Caenorhabditis elegans: one gene and its partner. The protein of the gene in region 2 purifies or fractionates together with the protein of the main gene of each other region. This does not show direct contact. Each region holds a gene or a part of one and is shown on either strand. Other genes may lie near its edges.

What was found.
Region 1: the proteins of gpa-12 (region 2) and rhgf-1 purify together in Caenorhabditis elegans (affinity purification with western blotting, with the first as the bait; one study listed by BioGRID). This does not show direct contact.

The regions. Positions count from the first base shown.
Region 1 is NC_003284.9:10,710,078-10,714,006, forward strand, and holds the start of rhgf-1 (Guanine nucleotide exchange factor), read right to left. Parts: upstream 1,793-3,929; 5' UTR 1,782-1,792; coding exon 1,658-1,781; intron 1,339-1,657; exon of another isoform or gene 1,212-1,338; intron 1-1,211.
Region 2 is NC_003284.9:9,244,793-9,248,721, reverse strand, and holds the start of gpa-12 (Guanine nucleotide-binding protein alpha-12 subunit), read right to left. Parts: upstream 1,716-3,929; 5' UTR 1,706-1,715; coding exon 1,619-1,705; intron 1,573-1,618; coding exon 1,444-1,572; intron 1,395-1,443; coding exon 1,294-1,394; intron 1,024-1,293; coding exon 894-1,023; intron 851-893; coding exon 705-850; intron 649-704; coding exon 543-648; intron 494-542; coding exon 302-493; intron 1-301. UniProt on the Caenorhabditis elegans protein: Guanine nucleotide-binding proteins (G proteins) are involved as modulators or transducers in various transmembrane signaling systems.

The DNA of each region.
Region 1 (3,929 bases), 1.5 Mb from region 2:
TTAATTTTTTTCCTGCACGGAACATTATTTATAGTCACATGAAACCTTAGTTCGCGCAAAAGGGACTTGTGTGAATTTTGAATTGTTTTTCAGAATGTTCTTTTGGAAGTCAGAGCTATAAAAAGTTGAAGAGTGTTCGATCAGATTTGAGGTGTTTGAAAAAAGATAAGACCCATGTTTTGAAAAGCATATTCAAACTTTAGTTTAACAAAAACCACCAAAAATCAAAATGAACTTCAACTGCTAGGTTTTGTGTATTATTATGGAATAAAACTTTAATTTGTAATTTATGATCCTGATGTCTAAGCAGAAGTGCAAGTGGGACCATAGTTTTTGGCGGCAATTCATTTTTTTTTCAAAAATAAATAATGTTAGCAAATGTGCAAAAAGGAAATTTCTCAAACTGGATTCAGCGCAGAATTCAAAAAAGTTTTATCTGAAAGTATGCCGGTAACACGACAACAAGCAGATTCTCTGAAGCCAATGTTCAAATAACATGTAGTAAGGTTTTGCGCGTATTCGAAGGTTAATTTTTTAAGTGTGGCGCAAGAACGACAACAAGCAAAAATTCAATGAAACATAAACTACAAGACTGAATAGTTGATCACTTTCATGAACTGGAAATTAGTTATTACTATTTTCAACAACTTTTCATAGAATGTATGGAGAATGCGAAGAATATTACCAAAAGCTCGTGGTTTTCTTCAGATTTTTTAATAATTTAATAATTAAATTTTTCAAACTGCAAATGTTGACATCCCCTGCCGACTTCAGATCAAAGTTTCTTGTAAAATTAATGTGTTAAACGTAACGATAGGACAAGATTTAAACAACAACTGTGAATATATTCTTCAATGGGAAGTTTGCGGATTTTTTTTCAATTGGCACTCAAGTTGCATTTAATCCACTTCAAGGCTAACGATTTTAATCTTGTTTTGTAAGAAAATCATTCTGTCAATCCCATCTCTCTTAAAGTATTCAGAAAAGTTTTTAAATATCACTCAGTTTTCTATTCAAATGAATCAGCAATCAACAAAGAAGTTGACTAAACAATTTCCACAACAGATTTGATCCTCTTCCTCCGTTTCATCTTTTTCTTTATTCTCAGAAAACCCAGTAAACTGATGCTCTGTTGCTATTGCAAAAGGCACCCCGCCAAAATTGTCACAACAACGCCTATTGAGAACACAAGAGCAACACGACTCTTGGGAATATAACAGGAGAAGGGGATAACTTTCTGCCAAATTTAACATGGGATGAGTGGGAAAAGGGAAGAAGACATATACACACAATATATCCCGTTGAGATTTCAATCTTGAATGCTGTTGAAGAGGTTGAAAAGAGCAAGTGAGCTAGATAGGCTACAACGAAACACTGCTTTTAAGCAAAATAATTTTTGATGGAACTACAAAGTTATGCACTTTGAACACTAAAATCAACGTTTTCAGTGTTTAAGAAAAGAACTTACCTTTGTGTGTATTCTAACGAATACTTTGTTTTCTTGCGTTCCGAATAAAACGAAAAACAAAACTCATAGGTCTAAAATTATGGAACGAATTGAAACCAACAGTATTTCGAGTTATGATGAAGTTTAAAGTTCAACCCTTTTACCCAATTCGAAGGACAAGGTAATTGTAAAAGTGCAAAAATGGCTCACCGGTTGATGGGGATAATGGCTGCGATAAGGGTACAGTCCTTGTGACAGCCACATCGTCGACGAGGTATACTTTGTGCCGATCAAGTTTGAGTGGTGTATTGGTTACAAACTCGTACGATCGCATATACAGTTTCTGTAAAAAGTATCAATAATGGCAAACTGAGAAGAACTATAAATGCCAACGGAATCACGGAGACACAGAATGTGAGTGAATGGACGAATAAATTCTCTCCTCCTTAAGAAATCGAGCCCACACACGCAGCAAGTGTGCGGAAGAAGAGAGGAAGAGTGCTTGGTGCGCTGATTGCGGAACGAATGTTTATATATGACAAAGTGACGCTGTCAATAGACAGAACCAAAAACTATTGCTGAAGGAGGGGGGGGGGGGACGAAAAGCTTCAAGAAGGCATGGATTTTTGTTGGTGTATTCTGGTTTAGTCTCAAAACAAACTTATATGTGGAGTTAGAAGTGACAAAACGCTAAAAATTCCACGGCAAATCGTTGAGCAAAATATGCGAAGATGAAAGTTGAAAAATTGTTCCAACACGCTCACAGAGGACAAAAAGTTAACCTGCTCGTCGAGTGGGAGTGGAAATCAAATGAACGAACTCAGAATACATTGTTCTTCTTCGTCTGGTCATTCAAAGAATAATAAAAAGGTATGAACATGAATTTTCAAAACCATCGGTATACATATAAAATGAAACCTAGCAAAATGGTTAGTAATAAAATGCCAGGATTTTATGACAGTTACTTTGAAGTCAAACGTGCATCAAAATCAAAACTATCACACTGAATTAAATAACAACTAGCCAATCTTGAAATTAAAAATTGGAAAATCTTCATTAACTGAATAACTGACTAACTTCATAACTGAATGTCTTGGATAGTTTCCATGAAACTTCAAATAATTCGAAAACAAGTGATTAATTTTAAAAAAACGCGGGTGGTCTTCAAGGTGGGCTCGCGAAATTCCCACCATTACTTTGCTGACGTCATTCTATTAATCACACAGGAATTTCTTCTAAAAAAACTAAATATTCCTAAAACATCAGCTTCTGTCAAGATAAACTGAAAAATAACATGTTCACTGAAGAATTTTCAAAAGAGAAACATGAAAGGCGAAAAAGGAAACAAAATTCACATGTTCTCAATGTTTGGAGATGTTTTTTTTAGAGCGGCGAATATAAAACTGCAGTTGTAAAGAAAAAATGGCAAGTTCATGAAAGGCTGGCTAACTTTAAAATATGACCAATGAATTTCAAATAATAAATATATTTCAAACAGATTCGAAAACTGGATATTACAAAATTGATATAATTTCTAAGAAGCATTTTCAAGATATGCAACATTTCAAAAGTTATCCAGTGTTTGAAGAGAGGCCCGTATAAATAAATAATTAAAATTCTTCTTGATTCCAAGAAAAAAGCAACAAAAAAATTTACTGGCAGTGAAGTCCTACTGCTCACCACCGGCACCATCCTGGGAAAGTGTCTCTCAAGAATCGTTCAAGATACATCAGATGGAAAGAAAACATTAAAGAGGTTGTACGATGAGAAGCAGAAAGTTCACACGCCTAAAATTGCCGTTGGGAATAACGATGGTGGTAGGTCCTCCCGGACAAGTGAAGAAAAAGGAAGGGAGCAAAAAGCAAATCTACTTGTTAGAAAACTGATTTCTCAACGCACTCCGGCTAAACTGTGCCGGCGGCGGCATTCTTAATAGATTGCCAAGATGCATATCTCAATACGTATCGCCATTTGACGTTTTGGGGACAAGAGCATGAGGCTTATCCTCGGCATCCTCATGAACTGGACGATGCCGTTGGTGTCTGTGCTCACCGCTACGTCTCGGGTTTCAGATTCAGATATCGAATACACGCTTTTACACACTCTTCGAATTTTGAATATATCTTTATGGAGAACGAAGATGATGAGTAAATACTTTTGGCATTTGCCTCCGTCCCACCACATCGATCTTTCGATGCAGTTTTCTTCAGTTTTGGTTTCAGATTACTCACAGATTTGGCAACAATAAACAACATTTGTTTCGGCTTGAACAGTTGCTTAGTTCAAGGCTGAACATTGAAAAATGTGAAAACTTTGAGCATCATGTGCCTTCTTCTTGTTTTATATCACATTTGGTTTAAACAAAATAAAGCATGACAGCATGTTTAACGTATAACATAAACATGAGAACGGTGCAGTAAATCCGAATGTGTTTCACAATGCGTTGTAATAGAAACTATCATGAAACAATTTTCAAAATGTC
Region 2 (3,929 bases):
TAAATAACAACTTTTTTGCTCTAAGAAAAAAAAACTTTTAACGTTAATTATTGAAATTTTTCGAGATTTGAAAAGGTCGTGAGTAAAACACAACATTTCCAACTGTACCCTCACAGTTCCAGTGAAAGAATGAATAAAGAAAAAAAGATTTCCGTAATACGTGAATTCCAATGCCCGAAACATGTCGGCTGTGTAATACTCCCCTAATTTTTACCAAATATGATTTTCCTTTTAATATAGCTTGATACAAGATACATTTTTCTATTGTCAAACACGTTTTTTCTCAATAATATAGACTCACTAAAGTGTGATCCCCTGTGAAATCCGTGAAATACTGTCTGATATCGGATTTGGGAACTTTCTCTTGCAATAAATCATTTTTGTTCATGAACAAGATGATGGAGACATTAGAGAACGCTCTGTTGTTGACAATCGTCTCAAAAACAGACCGTGATTCGACAACTCGATTCGTCCGTCTGTCTTCGAGAATCACCTGAAAAATGTATAGTAAACACCAGAACAAGTGTGTCTTGATCTCTAACCTGATCGTATTCGTTACTGGCGACCATGAACAAAATACTTGTGATGTCTGTAAAACATTGAAACCATTTTTGACGTTGCGATCTTTGTCCGCCAACATCAATGAACCTGAAACAATATAATTCACAAACTAAGTCCGTGACCATTGAGGAAAAAAGTCAAACCTAAATGGAATCTTGTTGATCTCGAAAATGTGTTCAGAAATGCCACGTGTCGCTTTTCGGCAGAAAAGGATATCACGGTTTGTTGGGTAAAAATCAGGCATTGCGATTCGTGGAATATGCTCAAAGAAGTACTGACAGGAGTCACTCTGAAAACAGAACATATATAATTTAAAAAAATCAAAAACTTACAATTTGGAATAAGTTTCTTTGCTCATATGTTTTTCTAATCGCAGCGTCGTTCCAGAAATCACTGATGATTGGGGCTACTTCAACAAACGTGGTGAAATCAATTCCTTTTAATAAATCGCCGACAGAAAATCTATAATATTAATGTATTTAAGTGCAATAAGAAAAAAAGTTAATTTTTTGAATGATTTCTAAAAAGTGTGGAATTTTGATTAGAACGAATAATCTAATTTCGTTTTCATTGTTAAAAATTTTTCATCCAGTTCTTTGTTATTTTTAAACGATACCAAAAATTCTTCTTAAAACTATAACAGTTGAATGTTTGATTCACGCATTTCTTGATCTCTAGGAAAAATGTAGAATTTTGGATTGTATTCAGACTTTAGATATAAATTCTACTTACCTCATAACTTTTTCAACTTCCACTTGTCTTTTTGGATCTTCCCATGCAATTCCTAATTTGTTCCTAGCATCTAACAACACCCGCATTGCACTTATCGCGTTCTGTGAATAATTTTCTTTGAATTTTTTAAACCACGTAAAAGGATGAAACCTGATATATCTGCTGTCTGTAAGCTCGAACTTCGTCTGCTGTAAATTCTCCGGCCCCGTGAATTATGTGCATCTGTTTTACAAACGTGGACTTTCCAGATTCACCGGATCCGAGAAGCAATAAATTAATCTGAAAATTGTCGATTATTTTGCACTAGAAAATAATTTAATTATACTTGTCGCCGCATAATTTTTCTCTCTTTGTGTAATTCTTTTTCAATCGTTTTGGTCCTTTCATCTTTTTTCCCGAAACAGCATACCATGTTGAACAACCTGAAAAATGGTTAAATGTTTACGTTTCTCAAAAAAATGTCGCCGATTTTCATGGAAGACAGGCGTCAATTGTTGTCAAGGTCGCACTTAAATATGAGAACGTGAAGGGGTCTAATATCTGTCGACAAGGAGAAAACGTTAACGCAATACAATTGTTATAGATGATATCAGAAAAGGATAAGGTTATAAAAAGTACACCTAAAAACGGCTACAAAACTAGAAGCCGTAGCGATGACCTTGAACTTTTGTTTTAATCAAAGTGACCAGACAATACATAGAACTTGACAAGTGTTTACAAGCTAAAGGGAAAAATCAAGCGAAATACGAAAATGCAAATTGCAAACAGTAGACACGGGAGAGGAGGTCGCGAGTACAATGCAAGGGGGCAACGGCATTGCTTCACAGTCAAGACATGTTTTAGCACGGAAACAAATGATGACTCATCTACTTGTCACTGAAAATGCAAAAGTAATGAGAATTGACATATAAAAAACATCGATTTCATCTCTGAAATATAAGCTTCAATTTCAATTTTAAAAAATTTAAGAAAAATGTTTAAACAAGTTTGTAGAATGCCGTTAGTTCAGGAGAAAATCTTGCAAATGCTCGATTAAAAATAGAACTACAAAAATATTTGCTTGCGTTTTCACAAATACCGAAAATTGTGTTCAAAAAATGTGAGGAAATAACCTATAAAATATTCTTAGTTCTGCAAATTATGCAATAGCAATTAGTAGTTTTGTAAAAGTAGGTATAAAAAATTAAATGTGTTTTTTGAAAAATTAGAAAGTGATTGCTTAGAACTTATAACATACTATTTAGTGCCACCACGTTTTTTGAATTTCGGATTAAATTAGAAACTTGAGAATTATTTTTTTAATAAACAGTCTTTGGTAAAAACGTTCTAAGTTCGATCAACTCGGATATCACGTTCAATTCAAGTTAAGGAAAAACCAGTATGTTTTATTCATTTTTGAGGTGTTATTATGGGTTATAATAAACTTAATAATAGAAGCATAACTACTTGTATTCAACGTATTTTTTAAAATTTTATTTAAAACTTAATATTTCATTTATATAGGATAAAAATACAACTGTTTCATTTGGAACACTTCAGACATACAGAAAAACAAAAACCAGAAAAGACAAATGATTCAAATCGTCACCTTATTTCTCCGCGCAACCTTTGTCAACAAAAAATCACCCACGTAATCGCAGTCTCATTCAAAAAAGTTCGGAGAGCACTGTCAATTGCTCAAAACGAATAAAAACCTTCGAGAGGGTATATTTGATTGAAAATTTTGCAAAAAAAACCTGTGCAAAACCAGCTTTTTGTCTTCTATATGTGGGGTTTGGAAAGGGAAACAGCGATTATAATCGGTGGAATCGGCAGAATTACACTACCTTTCTGAAGTTTCCTCATAGTTCAAAAAATAATGAGTCATGAAAAATATCAAAAGTAAAGTAAACCTCTCAAAATTTCAAAAGAACAAGAAACAAAAGAAAATATGCTTGACGAAAAGCAGTTCAACTAGTGGAAAGGGCGAGAATTTGTTGCGCAAATCAAATACGATTGTCAAGATTTTTCACTGTGTTCACATTATTTTTCTTTCTGTTTGTCACTAATAAATGGATTTAAAAGATGATCTGATAACAAAATTTTGGATTTGTACGTCTGAAGATCAATAAATTGGAAGAAGACAAAGAAGAAACAATGATACCAAATTTTGCAAGAACTGAGAAGAAGAGGTGGATGAGAAATAGAGTACATTAATCGCGATGTTGAGAAAGTGAACAGTTTCCGCCATACAATATGAAATATTCAGGGTTGAAAGTTTGTTGTTTCTAATTTTTATGTCATCATCAATTAACTGCTCTTGATGAATGGTAAGATAGTTAAGTTTTTCATAGGCGATCTTTACTTGAAAAAAAAGTTGTCAAATTGGTGTCATGATATATTCCAAACAAACACATGTAAGTCTCTATTCACTAATCTCAATTTCAGTTGATAATTGTACATTTTACATGTCAATTGATTATTATGTTTTGCTTATTACTTTATTTGTATTGATTTCTCTTACGATTATGTGTATATGTATGTTGTATTGGTATTTTATTTCTCACACGATTAACTAATCGTATCAAAATAAATAAATAAATAAGTAATTTTCTGTTTTTTATAACTCTCGCACGTGAAGCAAATTTTTTATTAGC